Linked DNA regions of Struthio camelus. The protein of the gene in region 1 interacts with the protein of each later gene in a biochemical or structural test. Links are inferred from orthologs where the notes say so. Each region holds a gene or a part of one and is shown on either strand. Other genes may lie near its edges. The genes, in order: TNNI1 and TNNC1.

What was found.
Region 2: the proteins of TNNI1 (region 1) and TNNC1 are reported together in a solved structure, tested with the Homo sapiens proteins (2 studies listed by BioGRID, with this or other methods). The link is inferred for Struthio camelus from reciprocal best matches to the Homo sapiens genes TNNI1 and TNNC1.

What each region holds. Positions count from the first base shown.
Region 1 is NC_090965.1:3,433,693-3,443,086, reverse strand, and holds the start of TNNI1 (troponin I, slow skeletal muscle), read right to left. Parts: upstream 3,630-9,394; 5' UTR 3,521-3,629; intron 3,162-3,520; 5' UTR 3,156-3,161; coding exon 3,030-3,155; intron 2,942-3,029; coding exon 2,852-2,941; intron 2,365-2,851; coding exon 2,188-2,364; intron 551-2,187; coding exon 443-550; 3' UTR 440-442; intron 65-439; 3' UTR 1-64. UniProt on the Homo sapiens protein: Troponin I is the inhibitory subunit of troponin, the thin filament regulatory complex which confers calcium-sensitivity to striated muscle actomyosin ATPase activity.
Region 2 is NC_090955.1:22,266,116-22,275,295, forward strand, and holds the start of TNNC1 (troponin C, slow skeletal and cardiac muscles), read left to right. Parts: upstream 1-5,598; 5' UTR 5,599-5,700; coding exon 5,701-5,724; intron 5,725-9,180. Other genes in the region: NISCH (nischarin), read right to left, coding at 1,343-1,423. UniProt on the Homo sapiens protein: Troponin is the central regulatory protein of striated muscle contraction. Tn consists of three components: Tn-I which is the inhibitor of actomyosin ATPase, Tn-T which contains the binding site for tropomyosin and Tn-C.

The DNA.
Region 1 (9,394 bases):
GGCAGCAAGGACAAGGGAGGCAGACAGCAGGATTGGGGAGGCTCTTCTTCCTGGCCTGACGCTCCTGCAGGAAAGAAACAGAGCAGAGTAATGGGGCAAAAGAAGAGTTTGTCTTGAAGCAGCCATGCTGCAGGCCCAAAGCTGATGCCAGCAATGGGTGTGCTGTGCAGGATAACTGTAGTGTGGCTGCACAGGCCCCAGAAAGCCAGGGAGATAAGCTGAGCAAGGGGATAGCTGTGGACAGGGGCTCCATGTTGGAGACATGTGGGCCTGGGGCCCTGTCCCATGTGCTGGGAGAGAGACAGGCCAGGAAGCCAGATGTGAAAAGCCCAAGGAAAGGAGTGGATGCCTTTTCTGCATTCACCCAGCTACAAGCACTGCTCAGGGATGTTACAAGGAGCGCGGGGCATGGCAGGGGAAGGCAGACTAGTTGCCATACCTCTCACTGGCCTGTGGGGGACTTGGCAGCATCGAACATCTTCTTTCGGCCCTCCATACCGGACATGGCTTCCACGTTCTTGCGCCAGTCACCCACTTCCACAGGGCGCTCCTGCAGGGTGAGACGGGGCCGGGGGCTGCAATGGCTCTGTGATGGACCACCTGGCAGCCCTATGCTTTCCCACTCACATGCCCCAGCGTGAAGGCAGCACAGGGAAGGCATGCACGTGGAAATTATTTCAGACTGCATACTGAGGCAAATGCAAGCAAATACACTTTCTGCAGAGAGGTCTCAGCCACATAAACCCCATCTCCACCTTCTCTCAGCTCTTGAAGAGAACTGGGATTGCAACGAGACCTGGGAGGCCACTTCTAGAACAGAAAGGGTAGGCGACAGTGGCTCTGAGAGTATGCCCAGGTGTCTGCTTTGCCATCCCACAAGTGTTCACATATTACAAGCCATGCCCCCAAATTATCTCATGAGATCTAAAATAAACTCAGATCTATTCAATACCTGGCACTGAGGCTTGTAAACACAATTTTTTTCAATTCAATGGATTAAAAAACATGCCCTATTAGCAACAGTGAAAAACAAAATTGAAAAATGACATCCAATCTACTGTCATCCAATCTACTGAGCTGGAACCTGGGGTTAAAACATGGTGCACAGTGAGGACAGGCACTGAGAAAGCAGCAGAACTCTTCTGGAGGGAATCTTGACATCTCATAACCTGCTGCTGTTTGACATCAGAGCAAGAAATTGCAATTCCTGAATGCAGCATAGAACAAAATTCCCCACATTCTCTTTGGGGATGTCAAAGCGGTCTCCTGTGACACTGGCAGGATGGCTTAATCTGAAAAGCAACATCACGCACTGTGTCTGACATTGTCTGTATCACAGGCGCTGTATCTTATTGCTATTTAACACATGATGGAACTAAAACTATGAATCACAACAAGAATGCCAAAATCCAGTATTGGGACTTCTTCCCCTTGACAGTGCTCTTGCAGTTGGAGTGTTCCTGCCTGGGCTTTTTCAAACTGTAATTTCTGGTCTGAAAGAAGAGTAAAACCTTGCAGGCAGATCTGGTGCAGGAGGAGCGGCTGACACTGCCTGCGTCCTCACGGTCCTGAACCCTCGAAGGGGCATGCCACCTGCCTCTACGCCTGCCTGCCCACCGTGAGCAGGCTTGGGCATTGCACTATGTCTCTGGTATGGAGAGAGACTTTCCCCTCTCCCATCTCTGCAAAGTCAGCGTGAACTGTGCTGTTTGTCTCAGGCTAGGTGTGCTTGCTGGGCTTGCATTGTTTTATCTAATCTGTGCCTAGGAGTTTCCTGAGTATTTTCTGGGTGTGATTGTATTGAACAGGAGCTCTCCTTGTTCCCAGGAAGACAGAAGACCAAACTCTCATAGAGTGCAGCTTGACAAGCATGTTAAGGGGTCTGTGCCACTTTACCCCAGCTGAAAGTACCCCCAAGCTCTGGGAGGGAAGATCATCATGGACAAAGCCCTGAATCTCACCTGTTATCATCCACCAGTTACCTGACCTAGTCAAACAGCTCCCTTGTGGTCCTACAACGTCCTGCGATGGGCAATGCCTCACAAGGACTACACCCCTTGCTATTTCTGAGGCGCAGGGCTTACAAGGGTTGAGCGTAACCCATGCAGGCTTCACAGGGACATTGCAGAAAGACAGGTGCAGCCCTAGGAGGTCTCTCCACCTCTGACCTCTGAAAGAGACACCCACCTTCTCCGTATCCTCCTTCTTGACAGACTTCAGGTTGGCTCTCAGATCCATGGAAACCTTGTGCTTGGAGCCCAGCAGAGCCCTCAGCATAGCATCAGCAGAGACCCGGACTCGCCGCAGGGGGGGTCGCTTGAACTTTCCCCGGAGGTCAAGCACTTTCAGTTTCAGGTCTTTAATCTGCAAGTTGAGGAAACAAGATGGAAGGGGAAGTCATTGTATGACTGCATTGCACAAAATGCCCCTATGTGAGGCAGGAATCTCTGTCTGCTCCTAGCCTCAGAGGGGTCCCAGCCCCTCCCACAGTGAGTAGGACCACCTCCAACTAAGGGGTTGTGCACCTGAGCCCAGACCTGTAGTGATGGCCTTGTCCCAGCCCACTTGGATTGTAGCCATGCTACATAAAAGACCTCTCAGCCCCTCAGGGGATGACCAGGAGAGCAAGGAGGTTGCTTGTGGACCCAGGTGACACTGAACTCTCTGAGGCAGGGATGAATCCTGTGCTGAGCGATTGTCTGCTCTTGTAGAGCAAATACCAACCCTGAGTTAAGCCTGGTACACGTCCCACATCCAAGCTCAGTCCAATCTATGAAAGACCCCTGTCAAGGCCCAAGTCACCACTGAGGAGGGAATTAACATAGACACAAATAGCCCCTCCTGCTCCTACCTCCCGGGTGTTATGGTTGCATTTTGCTTCGATGTCATATCGCTCTTCATCCACAATTTCAGCTTTCGCATGCAGCTCCCTGCACAGGTCCTGGGGGGTCAAGCACAGCAGGAGAGCAGTAAGTGATGGTCCTTGCTGCTTCCAAGGAGTTCACTTCATCCTCTGATCAGAGAAATACCTGGAGCTGGCTCAAGGAAAGCCCACTGGTATACAATGGTGTGATCCGCTCAGACAGATATCTTTCCTTCTCTGACTGTTTGTCAATGAGCTCCTGTTCCCATTCCTCCTTCGCTTTTGCCAGCATCAAGCTCTAGGGAACAAGCAAAAAGTAGAGGCTTGACTAGACAGGGTCTTCAGTTAGCTGCTGAGCCTCCCCACGCAAGGTCTGTAGGATGGGAGAGAGTCCCAACTCCTTCCAAACCCCCCCTTGCTGTGGTAATCCTCCAAAAATCACTGCAATGCTGCAACACACATCAAAAAATCCCTACACCCTTTATGTGGTGACACTGAAGGCAGGTGAAACAGGGCGAGAGATATCACTGTGGTGGTGGTGTTCCTGATGGATGCTGACGTGAACACTTTCTTTGCATTGGTTTGCTCTGTTGTTGCATTAAATGATTTCCCTCAGCCACAACAAATCTTAGGGAGTTTCCAGCCCTTAGGACTCACCTTCAACAACAGTTTGCGTGAGGCTGTGATCTTGGGCTTTCTCTAGGGAAAAGGGGACAAAAAGAATCTTTGAAAATAAACTCGCAGCAAATGCAGAGAAATATCTAGATCACTCAGGAAAGGCAAGGCACTTACCTCCCTGCAGGGAGGCATTCATTCAGGAACGAGCAAAAAGGAAGACAAAAACAGAATAGGGCATAAGCGGATAGAAATCAAGAGAGTAAATGTCAAGAAAAGTATTTTATATTATTACAATTGGTTTCCCTATTTCACTATACAATAGTTGCAACCTGTAAGTGAGCCAGGTCTGCTGCCAGGCTGAGATGAAGGTGCTCTCCTGAAAAGCAGCAGAAGTTGAGCGCTGCATTTTAGAAAGTCAAAATGACACTCAAACACTGCACACAAGCTGTCTTTATGCCCTCTTGCAGGGCTTGGACATCTCCATGCCATTGCTTGATGAAAGCTTTGCAGGGTGTTTTTTTCCTGCTGTTCACAGCTGGGAATATGCTATATTACACAACATACTATAAAGAAGAGCCTCACAGCAAAAAGAGTGTCATTGCCCACTTGGGGATGGCTATATCAGGGTCTCTGATCTAGGCAAGCTCCAAGGTTTGAACCAGGACATTCAAATGACTAACAGTTTTTATTTGAAGAAAGACATTTTTTACAAAGGGAACATCACAGGGGTCTGGAGCATGGACCATTCTTCAAGCCGGACCCCCTAAAGAAGGACCAAACTCTGTCGGCACAAGCAGCCCTGTGGCTAAGGGAGGAATTCAGCCAAAGCCAAGGGGAACACATGCTACTTACGGCTCTGGCATGGTGATGTCACGCTGTTTACCTGCAAGGAAGGGAAAGAAGCTGAAATGAAGATACAAATCCCAAAGCAGTCCAAGCCCAAAAACTGGGCTGGGTGCCACAGGGGGCATGGGGAGCACAGGGGTAGCAGGCAGCTAGTGTGGGAGTGAATTGGGCAGAATGGCTGTGTGATGGGGCAACGCAGAGGCTGCAGAGTGGGAGCAAGAAGCATCACTTTCCCCAAGATGGCACTGCACCTCTGCCAAGTTGTCTGGCCATCTCAGCACCCTCCTCAGCTGGGAACTGGCCTAAATGCACTATTTGGATAATGAATCCCCTCTTGCAGCTAGGCAAGATATTGCCTGAGACAGAAGAGAAAGAAGCATTCAGAAAGGCAGGACCTGGAGAAGGGGCTGCCTTTCTTGCCTGCTGTTCCTGCCGCTTCTCTGTCCACAGATGATGGGCCATAGCACGCTCAGCAGTGACTACAGAGCACTTCCGAGGTGTAGTGCTGCCCCGTGCTGTTGGTGGAGGGAAGCAACTCTGCAGTTGGCTTTACCATCTGGTTGTGGAACACAAGGACAAACCATACAGCTCCAAGGAAATCATATTTCGAACAAGCTCCAGCCTGCTTCCAGCCAGCCCTGTGGCACTCAATCAGCAGGAAACCACTCCCCTGCTCCTCAGGGTTTTTCCCAAATTTCTGAGCTGTTCTGCCACCACTGCTGGCTACATCACCCACTCCAGCTGCAGGCAAACGGCTGGAGGCGAGAGAGGCTAGAAAGCTAATGAGAAACACGGCACCTCGAGGCTCCCCACACTGCATCAGCTGGAGGAGCTGGGCTGGTTTAGTCTGTCCGAGAGGAGGCCAAAGGGGATGCAATAACATCCTGTAGCTCCTCATGTGCAATTGCAAACATGTTGAAGGCAAACACTTCTCAAGCGTGGCAGACAATAAACCAAGGGGCAACGGTCACAAATTGCAGCAAATTGGCACAGCATATTCCTTTAGGGTTTGTGTCCCTGGTGAAATCCTGGTGATTTCATATTTTACATTCACTTGGTAATCCTATTCCCTGGCAGCTGCTTTAAAACGTACTGCCTCTGCTAACTTCCTCCTGAGCTGCTTCTAACACTTCCCATTCTTGCCAAGAAGTCAGGGCACCACATAAATCTGAACCATAGAAAAATTCATGGGAAAATGCCAATCAGTTTACTTTTTTCCTCTTTCCAATCAGGAATAAAAAATATTTCCAAAACAAATAGCATTTTTTTTCAGGGTTGAATCTAATCCTTTTCCTCTGAATTGAAAGGGCCAAGCTGACCAAGATTTTTGTTTCGACCTCTTTTGTCCCCATGAATTTGAAAATTATTTTAAACCCCAAAGATTTCTGCTGAAAAAAGGGAAAAATTCTAGTATCAAATGGTTCTCTTCTCAAGCTTGCATGGAGCCTACACTGAACAAGTCCCAGTGACATAAGTTCACCTCCCAGTCTGCTGCTCTATCTTCTTGTCCCTGTCCCTTCCTCAGCTCCCTTGCCATAATTGTATCATAAAGGAGTGTAGGTAGTTTGGAGAAAAATGCTATTTTGGGAAATAGCCCAGGAAAAGCCATCTTTCCTGGAGCCTGCCAGGTCCCTGTGCTCAGCACTGAATAACTCCAAGAAGTGTGTTTTTATCAAAAAGCTTGTCAATCAGATATAACCAGAGCTGCCAATTCCATGCCTTTTTAGAGATTTTTTGGTAATACAGCATTCCGCTCAGACATGCAGGCAAGCCAGCTCCTCTTGGCGGTTGCCAGCATATTGAGGGCATTCGGTCCCAGCTGCCTTCTCCTGATTTATTCCAGGCAAAGCAGAAAAGCATTTGGCTCTCACAGGAGAGCAAGGGTTGGGCAAAGCTTCTCAGCACCTCCCTCTGCCATATGGGGGAAACGCCAAGGGTCCCTAGAAGAGGGACCCATACTGGACCTTGGGACAGCCAATGCCAATGTCAATCAACTTTTAGGGCCAGATTTTTCTAAATTGGTCTCCCAGAGGGCAGCTGGGGCTCAGCTTTGCTGGTAAGACAAGTTGTACAATCTTGCATCCTTGCAGGGTTTTACTCAGGGACTTCGGGGCTCAAGCTAGGTCTGGAGCACCTGAGAGGGACTTCAACTCTCTGATGGGGACAGGAGAATTTGGACATATTTATTCTGAATTATGCTTGCATGCCCCCAGCCGTGAAAAACTTACAAAGCTTCAGAAACTATCAAATCAGAGAAATCTTTAAAAGAACTAATCTCTAATGCAGTCAGTCCTGACAGTCGCCCCAATCCCAGGTGGCTGAGGATATACCACGGACATGCAAACACGATGCCACACACATTGTTCACACCACGATGCCCCGTATCGCATATCCCTCGTCCTGCTCTCAGGGGAAAAGCACAAGCGTGATAGTGAGGAGCCAGATACCAGCCAAGACACAAGGGCAATTGCTCCCTAAGATAGTCCTATTTACCGTTTTTTAGGAGCTGCCTGGAAAATCAACCAAATCCCAGCTCCAATGCCACAGTAGTATTTTAGAAAGTATTTCCCTTCGTTGCAGTCTCATCAATCCTTTCTTTGAGAGTGAAGAAAATGGTGACAGCCAGCAAATTTCAGAGGGGATCCTATGCCAGGCCTAACAGCTAGGTCTCTATCTTACTCTGAGGAAGGGGAAGAAATTCAGGAAAAAAGATCATAAGCCAGGGGCATCTCTCTGCAATGCCTCGACATGCAAATACCGTTGGTCTCTCACTAGTGTCTGTGTCACCTGCTCTGCAAAAGCACCCTCAGGGCTAACCTAACACCCCTTAACAGACCCAGGAGTCACACACGGGAGGGACACTCTGGGCCTGGGGCAGTTTCTTACCTCTGGGCTGGGCGGGAGGGTAGGTGATGCCTGACGTCCGGAGAGCCGCACACTGTCGGGGCTTGGCGAAGGAGGGAGAGTATTAAATCGCAGCCTGTCTGCAAGTGGTCAGTAAAAATAGCCCAGGCACATACCCCCTACTCTGCATACATGCTTGCTGTAAGCACAAGCACCCCTCGACACTTTGCATACACCTGGGGCACTATCTCAAACACGGCACGACAAGTGCATGTTGCAGACGTGTATTACGCACCCACGTGCAACGTTAGCTCTGGGCACATCCAAAAGAGCCTTCTTGTGTTTTGGTGAATTCTTGTGCTGTGTGCGTATGAACTACCCGAACTTTGCTGGCATTTGCTGCTTGACGCACTGCTCACATACATGTTGCATGTGCATGCACACTGGCATCAGGCTGACCATGGTGCCAGCCAGTCAGTAAGGCAATGTCCGTGCAGGATAGGTGGATTCTTCCCAGTGCATCTGCTGTGCTCTTATCCCATGCAAGCATGCATATGTTGATACCGAAAAGACCCTGAGCCTGCAAGGAGGCAGAAGTCATGAGCTAAAGCACTGCAATGATTTTTTTTTTTTTTCCGGAAAATATCCCAAGGGTGACGGGGGGAGGTATCCAAGGTTGCTTGACATCTGACACAGTGATGACACCCATGCATAATGATGCACATGTTGTATCAGAGACAATACATGAATAGACTGATGTCCCCCACAGGACTGCTGGCCAAAAGGCCTCACTGGTGCTGGAAAAGCAGAGTGGGGGGAAGCAGATGGAGCCAAGATACAGGGGGAGTTGAATTCTGGCTGGAGGGTTTGTCAGGACTGAGGATGAGGCAGTCCCCTCTTTGGGGAGCAAGACCGGCCGGACTGGCACAGCCCAGCATCATGGGCTGAGACAAGGCACAGCTCAGGCAATTCCCTGCTATCTTTCAGCAACGCAGGCCCTGATACTTTCCCACAAAATCCCTGAAAAGCAGACAAAATGCTACTGTCTCACCACTTTGCCCTCTGTAAAGCCCCTTGCCCCCATGTCCACCACAGAGGGAGGCTTTGAGCAGGGGAGGACCGCTGGGGCGGGGGGGGACAGGCAGCACCTGTTCCCTGGGATATTTTTAGGGGCAAGTTTAGGCACAAACAATTCCCAGCCCTGCAGGAACAATGCCTGGTATTTTAATTCCTGAGACTATTATGGTCATGGAGGGACCCGCAGTCACAAGCCCCATTGTGGGGAGCAAAGACGGCCCCTGTGTCCTGCAGAGCGCCGGATGCATGGCTGACTTGCCACCTCCTGGTCCAAGCACCCGCTCTCCTTGCTTCTTGGGCCACCCAGTGCCTGCCCTGAGCTCCTTCCCTCTGCCTGGTCATCGATGAGGGCAGCTGGGTCCTTGGGATTGATGACGCAGAAGCCTCCAAGCTGGTGTAATCTCAGCAGCCTGGGGCCAAGTTTCTCCCCATCCTTTTTTCAAAGCCAGTGACGGTGATAGTGGCAAAGGCAATGGCAATGACAGTGGCAGCCCCATCCTTGTTTGACCTGCACTGAGCAAGTGCCTGTGAGCACAGGAGAAACCCCACTGAGCCCGCCCTCCTTAGGGACCCCCTCCAAGGGCCTTTCTCCTTCCCCATTTCCAAGCACCTCTCGCTCAAAACCATGATGTGGGCCAGTGCAGGAAATCTACCTCCCAGCTTGCTTGCACGGCTGACAAGGAGGAGGCTTTATAGCAGCCCCGTTAGACCTTTATAAGGCAAAAGGCCCAGCAGGGCCATGCCTCCAGCATCTGGCTGATATCAGATGCTGCCCCTTTCCTCCCATCTGCCTTGGGATTGTTTTCAGAGCACAAGAGGAGCCAAAATTAGCTGGTGACAAAGGCAAGCTGCATTCCCCACGGCTGTGCCCTCCCTGTCTCTCACCAGAGGGGATCCAGCCAGCTCCCGCTACCCAAAGGACAGATGCTGCTTTGGATGCCATTTGCTCCAGTCTCAGGTTTCCTCCTCTGCTGGGACCCTGTATGAGGAGGAACAAAAGGGTGGGGAAGCCAGCAGGGCGAGGGTTGGGGTGACGACAGCACCCCTTGCTCTGAGGCTTCAGGCATTGATTTCAAAGCCCAAGCACTGTCACGTGAGGTCAGCAGTGGGGAAGGGAAGGCAGGAGCCCAGGCTCTCCTCATCTCT
Region 2 (9,180 bases), on another chromosome or scaffold:
TCGTGAAAACTCTATCACTAACACTATTGAATTTCAGTTCACATCTAAATCAGAAGTTTCCTATTAACATGCCACAAAAGCCTCACCATGCCCTGACTGATTTGTGACTTTGAAACCAAACCGGCTCAGGGGGAAGAAGCACATGTCCAGCACACACAGTGGTGACACCACAACAGCAGAAGTACAGTTTCTGTAAATACATACTCTGTAACTAAACTGGCAGAAAGAATTGAAACAATCTTCAAGAATGTATTTTAAACTTCTCACCAACTAATTCACCAAATGTTCCCCTTAACAAGGTGATCTGAAGTGTTCGTTACGTTTTTATCTAGGTCTGCAAACACGGCCTCTCATCACCTGAGTGCCATTCCTAAACACTGATGTTTCAAGGGTTGTCAATAAGAAAAAGAGCTAAGCCCTTCAAGTACTACAGCGGTGTAAATTCTCTTGCCAAAGCATGGCTTCACAATCACTCTGTCTTATTAAAAAATCAGAAACTGCTCTCCTGTTGCTCAGAAGTTTTTTTGAGTACCTTTTCAGTGACAGCAATCTAAGGTACTACTTGCAAAAATAATACACAACTTCTAACAAGCGCTGCCCTTCTAAATCACGTTGCCTCTTTCCTTTTTCCTCCTTTGAGTTCCTAGTGCAGGAAGAAGCCTGGGGTCATAATGTGCATTCTCCAAAAAAAGATCATTCAAATCACAGTAGACTAAGGTAGGGGTAGAAAAAAAATTTAGTTATATAACAGGGCGGTGTTCTTGAGAGGTTTTCTGTGTGCAATTACACTGAGGCCTGTTATTGTGATGAGCTTCTTCCTAAAAAACCAGAACGATTAAGTCTGGGTACACTGAAACTAGTTTAAAAAAAAAGAAAAAAAAAAGAAGTTATAAATCAAAAAGTTAAACTCCTTCCCCAAAAGAAATGCTGCTGACGACCTTTCCTTTTTTTTTGTGGGGTAAAAGAAAAAAAAATTGGCTACGTGCAATACCATCCCGAAATCGTCTGATTTTCTCTGAACAGAAAACGAACCTTTTCAGGAGGGATTCTGAAGTATTTTCACCTTAACAAGATACTAGACACTATACTCGGGCCGGTTTTAAAAGCTACCCTTTCTCGACGGCAGCTTCTCAGGTCATACACGTACACACGCGCGTAGACGTGCGCCCACGAGCACGACAAGCTCCGCACATTCAGGCTCCGCTGAAACACTAGCCTGGCAGGAGGGCAGCAGCGCCAGCGCCGCGCCCCGGGCCGCGCCGGCCTCCCCCCGCCGCCCCCCGCGCCGGGCCGGGCCGGGCCGGGCCTGCCGCCTCCCGCCCTGCCGCGACGGCCCCCTCACCGTGTAGGTCTCCACCAGCTCGGAGCCCAGCACCCGCGCCCCCCGAGGGGGCTCCTCGCCCTCCTCCGCCGCCGCGTCCATGGCGCCGCGAGGAGCGCGGAGGACCGGGCGCCGCCGCGCTCACGCCGCCGCCGCCGCTGCTCCCCCCCGGCCGCCGCCGCCGCCGCCGCCCGCACCGGCCCCAGCCTCGGCCCGCTCGCCCGCCGCCGCCATCTTGACCCCCCCCGCCTCCCTCCACACACACCCCGAAGGGCGCGGCCCGGCCCCTCGCCGCATTTTTATTGGCCGCCGCAGGCAGGGGCGGGGCTTGAGGGCCTCCGCGTCAGCCGCGGGGGGGGGAGGGCGGAACGAGGCTCACGGGGAATGCGCATGCGTGCTGAGCCCTCCGCGGGGGAGGCTGGTGCTGCGCGCTGCAACGCAGTGCAGTGCTGGGCTGGGCTGTGCAATGCGGTGCTGTGCAGTGCAATGCAGTGTAGTGCTGGACTGGGCTGTGCAGTGTTGTGCAATGCACTGCAATACAATACAGTGCTGGGCAGGCCTGCACAATGCGGTGCAATGCCTTGCAACGCAATGCAGTGTTCTACTGGGCCCTGCAATGCCCTGCAACACAATGCTGGGCTGGGCTGGGCTGGGCTGTGCAATGCACTGCAATGCAATACAATACAGGGCTGGGCTGGGCTGCTGGGCCGTGTAGCGCTGTGCAATGCAATGCAGTGCTGTGCTGGACTGTGCAATGCAATGCAGTGCAGTGCTGGGCTGTGCAATGCCTTGCAACACAATGCAGCGCTGGGCTGGACTGTGTGGTGCTCTGCAATGCTATGCTGTGCAGCACTAGGCTGTGCAATGCAATGCTGTGCTGTGCGAGGCAGAGCAACGCTATGCAATGCAATGTTAGGCTGTGCAGCGCAATGCAATGCAGCGCAGGGAGTTCAGGCTGACCAAGCTGGCTGAATGCAGCTAGGGAGTGCAGTGTGCAATGCGCACGTTGCAAATGACGCCCTTGGAAATGCAGGCAGCTGCAGTCCAGGCCAGGGCAGGCACTAGCACAGGGCATGTGAGATTGAATTGCAGAGGGCAAGGCCACTCCTTGTCTGAAGAGTATTGAGCTCCCTGGTAGTGCTGTGGCTGTACTGTCACAGGCACTCACACCTGCATCTGGAAGCAGTGACGGCAGAGGTCCAAAGCAGTGACTCACCCCAGCTGTACACAGCTCCCAGTAGCTCTCTGTGGTCCCACCACGTGGCTGACTGGCTGGAGCAATGCGGCACTGGGCAGAGGTGCCACTGCAGTGATTCTGTGACAAACGCCTGCTGCCACCTCAGAAACTGAGCTGAGAGCTGGCGTGATGGGCCGGACTTCTACACGGAGGAGAGACACAGCCTAGGTGCGCAGGCAGGAGCACAAGCATGGAAAATGCTTTTCCGAGGAGCTTTTTTTGTTTGTAAGCTTTTCTTGCAAAGGACTGCCAGTGCTCGAGGAGCGCGTTTCGGGTGGGCGTAGTTCAGAGCAACTTTACTGAGGCGATGAGCTGGAATTTGCAATAGGAGTAGATAATCCCAAAGGATGGCAAGCAAATCCTTGTCTGTCTTTTCCCCGTGAAGTGGCATCGCCCTGAGGTGAAGTCGCAGGAGATGCAAACGCACCCTCTCGCTAAAGCCAGACGGTGCCGTCTCTTCTGGCCACGCTCGCGCTAGCGGATCTAAGCAAGGGTGCACCCAGCGTCGATTCATTGCAAAGAGTAATTTAGGCATTAGCTGTTCTGGCACTTGAGGGTTTGCAAGTGCGCGGGACAGAAAGTGCCCGCGCTCAGCAGGCAGCAGGAGGGCAGCGGCGGCGCCGGCGGGCGGGAGGCAGCTCCGGCGTCCGGCGGATGCACCGCAAAACGCTCTCCCTTGGATCAGGACTCATCAGGCGGACGCGTACGGCAACACGTACGGCCAAGGCAGTCCAAGAGGGATTTTTCTAGCACTGCCGCAACGTCGGCAGGGGCTGCTGCTGAACGCAGCGTCCCGATGCGATAACGAGCAGTTTTACCGAGCCAGTTTAATTAAGCTTCCTCTGAAGGCTCCATATCCTTAATTAAAGACCCATTTGCACTGCCGGTCCCCTTCCCTTCCGCCGCGCGGGGGCGGCGAGGCGGCAGCCCCGGCCTGTCTGCCGTGAAGGAGACATTTCGCGGCAGCTCGGTGACTCGGGGGCACCCTCAGCGCCGGCCAGCCCAGACCCAACCCCAGGAGGATTTAGCTGGCAGTAAAAGTCACAGATTTGGGTTTTTTTTTTTTTTTTTTCCCCTCCTCTCGTCTGCCAGCTTGCACCCCTTGAAAGGGGCTCGGTTTAGCTCTGGACGCTTCGCGCCAGGTGACCCGTCAGCCTGTCACGGCTGAAGGCGGAATAAACCGCGGCGCTTACAGAGCTTCGAGGTCAGCGGGGCCGGCGCCGCTCAGCCTCTTAGGGCGGCTCTGAGCCGCGCCGGTCTGCCCCGGGGGGCCCGCAAATCCTCCCCTGCGCCTCAACGAAACCCGGGGCGGGGGCGCTGCCGAAACCCCGTCGCAGGGGCACGCGGGGCGGCAGGGGCCGGCGGCGGCTCTCTCAGCGCGAGCCGCTCTCCTTCCCCGCCGGCGGGCCTGGCGGAGGCCGGCGGCCGCCCCGGGGCAGCGCGCGGGCCGGCGAGCGGCCGCCCGCCTCTGCCGGCCGACAGGGAGCCCTTGGCGCGGCCGGGCCGCCTCGGGGTGGCGGGAGGCCGCGGGGCCCGGAGCGGAGGCGATCTGCTGCGAGGGCAGAGGTGGAGGCCGCCTCCGGCCAGCGCCTCGGCCCCTCGCTCACACCGCCGCCGCGCGTCCCTGATTCACCCGCTTGGGCTGGGACAGCGCTTTTCCGGCGCGCCGCCAGTATTTTGGTTAACGGGAGGAGTGGTTTTTTTTTTTTTTTTTTGTTAGAAGAGCCCGAAACCTAACTAGCTGCCTTCACAGCGCCGTCGGTTTTCTCAAGTTGAAAAACGCGGCTTGAAAAGTCTTTGCTGTTGAAACCTTCCCCCACATTTTTCTGGTTGAAATGTAAGATTTTTTCAGCAGAAAGTTTAAAACGAAAAAAAATCTGCAAATAATAAATAGCTGCGGCTAGTTCAAGCGTTCACAGGAGTACCTACAAAAAGGCAAAGCAACCCCCCCCCCCCACAGACCCACTGTCTTTGTGACAGAGCAACACCCTTCTGTCCCCCGAGCAACAGGGACGCCGGCCGCGGCGGCGGGCAGAGCCCCCCTCCCAGCTCCATCCTGCCGGCCCCGGCCCGGGGGAGGAAGCCAGAAGCGCTTGCCGGCGCCGGCCGTGAGGCGCTTGCGCCCTGCCGCGGGCATCAGCTTGGCTGGCGAGACGGAGCAGCCATCGGTAGCTCCTTTGGACGCAAGAGGGAGCCTCGAGTCACGGGGCAGAGAGCGAGAGAGAGATATCTTTTTGCTTTGGTCCTCGCGGGTTAAAACACTTCTCCCGTCAGGGAGCGACGGCTGCCCGCCCGCAGGGCCCCGGCGCCTGGCTCTAGAGTCACGCCATGGGGCTTCTCCCTTCGTGGTGGGGCTGGCCACCAAAGGCCAGCGGCCGGCCGGCCCCCGCTCCGCTTGCCCGGCCGCTGGAGGGGACCGGCAGTAAGCGCAGAAAAAACGTCGGTACCCACGCGGCCCAGTCCGCCTACGCGTCCCCGCGTGAGGACGACGCGTTTCCCCTGGCCTCAGCGCCTGGACGCGCAGGGTAGGGCTCCAGCACCCCTGACGCGGGGGGCGAGCCCCGCCGGCGCACCCCAGAGCAGCCCGGGCGCGGGCGGGGGCCGGGGGGCAGCCCGCGGAGAGGCCGGGCACCAGACAGACCCCCCCCGCGCTTCCTTCGGGGTTTCCTTCCAAGCCCCAGGGAAATTTGGCTGGGGCGGGGGGGGGTCCGGGGTGCTCCGTCGGCGCGTTGCCCGGTTTAACTGAGCGCAGGGTACGCTTTCTGACCCAGCTTCCAGGGGGAAGAAGGGGGCTTTGCACCGGAGCCAGAGGTGACGCGCAGCCAAACGCTGCAACGCAGCGGCGCCGGGGTCTGCGGGGAGCCCAGCGGCAAGGGCTCAGCCTTCCCCCCCCTCCCCGTCAAAGTCAGGCGGAAACCCCCGGCCGCCCCAAGGGAGGGCTCGGGCAGGCCGGCAGCGCGCCCTCCCCGAGGCACGCGGGCGGGCAGCGCCCGGGGGGCCGGGAGCGCGCGGGGCGGGCGGCTGGCCACGTCCCCCGGCCCCGCGGGGCGGGCGGCCGGCCGGCCGCTATATCAGCGGGGCCGCGGGGGCAGAGGGGCCAGAGCGTGCCGCCCGCCCGGCTCCGCGCCCGCGCTCCCCCACCATGGATGACATCTACAAGGCAGCGGTAAGCGATGCCTTCGCTAGGGCTTGTGTTTCGGGGAGGGGGGGATTTTGGGCAGTTTTTACGGACCTTGTTGCTGATGCCCCGAAGCCGGCGCGCTGGTTCCCATGCCGTCAGAGTTAACGCGACGGAGAAAGGCGCACAAGAAGTTATTACAGGGTGGCGCCTTTCAGACAACATTTTCCTCCAGCACGCAGACTTTTAGCGCTGACAGTTGTGACGCTTTTCACGCTCCTCTTGTAAGCGTGAAGGTCTCGACCGTGCTGCTAAATGGTTTGCAGTCTCGGCCCTGGCTCCCTGCTCTGAGACAGCGACACGGTCCCTAAGTGCAGTTAAAAAAATCTCAGCAAAACCTTGGAGGGCAAGGGGGTGGCTGCTGGTCTTAGCCAGCGCAGAGCACAGCAGCACTTCCCATGGCACGAAGACCATTCGCGGGGGTTAAAATTCACCGTCCTGCTTCTGGTGCTTTAACATTTCGCCATTGCTAAGTTTTCCCCTTCCATAACTGAATGTTTTTTTGGTGGGATTTAAAAAGCTCTCAGCTTGTGTAAGGCATTTCCAAGCCTCCGCATCTGCTTCACCACTCCCAGCCCCTGCTATCTGCGGTACAGGAATTACGAATGTAAGATATGCTCTCTGAGAACGCAGAGGCACCCTAAGCGCTATTTTAAATTATACGGCTGTGTGTTATTCTTACTGGGCAAGTTCAAACTATTTGGTCTCTAATAAAGACACTTAAACAGACCGTGATATGCGGGTGGAATAAGGATGAAAATAGATTCTGAATTATAGGAATTGCTACTCTGTCCCGTGCATAACTGGAGTTGAAATACATTATAAGGGTTTCCTGGTGACTTTTTTTTTTTTTTATATATAGTTGATCAGCCTTGATTTTTAACTAAGGGCACAAAAAATACATCGTACAAGTGCTATTTTAATTCCAAGATCTTTTAGAGGGAAGGAAGAGCTTGCTTGAAATGTAACTGAAGAGAACAACAAAATGCTCACACAATTAGCTCTCCTGTCCTCTTGGTCTAACCTAGAACCTTGTGAGATTGAAAACCCAAAATGATTTGGATGTTTTCAGCGAAAAAAGAATCAGGAAAGGCTGTGCAGTTAGGAGTAGAGTTCCCCTAACAACCACTGCAGAAAAGGAAGAAAATATGACCTATAAAATTCAAGAAAATCCAGGCCTCTATAACTAATCTTTTTAATTAAACATATTCTCTGCGACTCAAGGAACGGGTCCTTTCCATATTGTTTAGGCACCTCATGCACATAGCTGGGAAGAAAGGCTGAAGAGCTTTGCAAGCCAGCAATGCTAACAATTAGCCAAATGGGTCTGTCCGTCAGCCGGAGGAATGCACTGTCCAGCGCAGGCTGCGTCGCAGCCTCCCGGCCCCAAAAGAAAGGTTTCCCCGCACAGACGCTCCAGCCTCTCTCCATATCTCTGGCCCATAAATGGGATACATATGGGCAAAGCTCCACGGGCCAAGGTCACTCCTAGTCAAAGTCTGTGGACTTCGGTGGAGTTAGACTTCGGAGGAATTTAGCCAAAAAAAGGAGCTCCAGCGTAAGAGCAACCAAAAACTTCCTGCCTCAGTTAGTTACCAAAAGCTTATCCCAAACACCTAGTCCTTAAACACAGAAATGAGCTGTGCAAAATACCTGATTGAGTCCCATAAGGATTTTGCTGCCCGTCTGAAGGCCAGGGCACCCAGGCAGACACCCTGCTGTTGTGAACCGTGACAACGCTACAACAGGTAAACGTGCAGCTCAAGTCCTGGGCTTTGGCGGCTGGCACCTGTACAGGGGCGAAACAACTCCAGCCCCGGTATGGCTGAGTTCTTGAATCTGTCCCCCAAGGCTTTAATTGTAAGAAGACATTCAGCTGGAAAAAATTTCAAGACCTTAAACTTTCCCCACCTAACTTCAAATGGAAACAAGAAATGAAGAACAAAGCTGGAAAAAAGCAAAGTAGAAACTATGACAGAGTTAGCATTATCACAGACATCCCAGTGCTGCGGGCTCAGTGCTTGCTTTCCAGTACCACAACAGGGAAAACCTCTCCCTGAAACACGATGCGGAGGGAAAAGAGGAATAAAGCAGAGCATCTATGTCCAGTGGACACTGTGAACTACTCAACTGAAATCCCTCTGCAATGCATGTATCTCTCTATAGCTACCTTGCATTTAAAATTTACGTACAGTTTAGTCCCACGCCTGTAATTCTCCAGATATCCAAAATGCCCTAGTCAAGCTTTGGAAGGGAGTATTTCATTTTCTGCTTGTTGAGGACATTTATTAATAACCGTTGTAGAATTGAATGAGTTTGTGCCAAATTCGCTCCATGCGGCCACAGAATCCAATGGATTTTCATCTTGCCTATTCATGTCTAGATAAGGCTATAGAAACACAAAGCTATTCTGGGAACCTTTTAAAGCTCTGTTAAGCAGCACTAAGAACAGTGCCAGGGACAAGTGTCCAGATAAAGGGCTGCAAGAATAAATAACAAAGCCTTTCTACTCCCGGGAACAATCAGAAAGCTCATCTTTATCTTCAGCACCTCTCTCACCAGGGTTTATAAATAGTGAATGCACCAAAAGGGTCGAGTTACACGAGTGGCATGACGGTGGCCGCAGACATTCGCTTGGGGAGCGCTGCGCCTGCCGTGGGGCTCCCAGCTCTCCTCCTTTCCCGTCTGCACAATAGCCCTGACGGCCAGCAGCTGCCTGCCTGCCTTCAGGGGCGGCTGGGCCAGGACCGGCTCGGGTTGCACCGTGCAATGCTGAAGAGCAATCCTGCTGCTATTGTTATCTCTTTCTGACCTGAAAGGACTCACCTCCTATAGTCCGTATCTTCACAAGCGCGTGGAGCTGAGCTGTAGCCAAGCAGGCTCTGGACGAGGCGCCCTGCTCGCTTCGCCCTACAAGTGCTTGTCCTCTGTCCTGCTGAGCAAATGCCCTTTCCCTACCTCTTGCTGCAGGCAGGCAGGGTGGCTTTCCAGCTGCCTTTTACAAAGCAATTACCCTTTGGGGCAAGAACATCAGCCTCCACGCAGAGAGGAGGTGCTGCAACTTGGTGTTGGGGGTTTTTGATAAAGCTGTGTCAGGGCCCGACCAAAACACACAGGGGGATAGTTGTCTGGGTATGGTTCACAATGGACATGGAGATCAGGGGAGCAGCAGGTAAGGACTGTAGCCGATAGCTATAGTAAGGAGGAAGCTAACAGGGTCCCTGCAGATACTCACTGCACAGGACAGAGATATCAGATGATTTGAGAGAGGGGCCAGAGACAGAGCCCTCTAAGCTAAATCACATAGGAGCCACCTGGCACAGGGGTAGCATCTGGCCAACTGCAGAGGGTCTCGTTGGCCAGCTTGGGAGGGAAGAAGGCAATGTTTTAATGGATGTTGCTGAAGGGACAGTTGGATACGATGGTGAAGTCAGTAATGTTAGA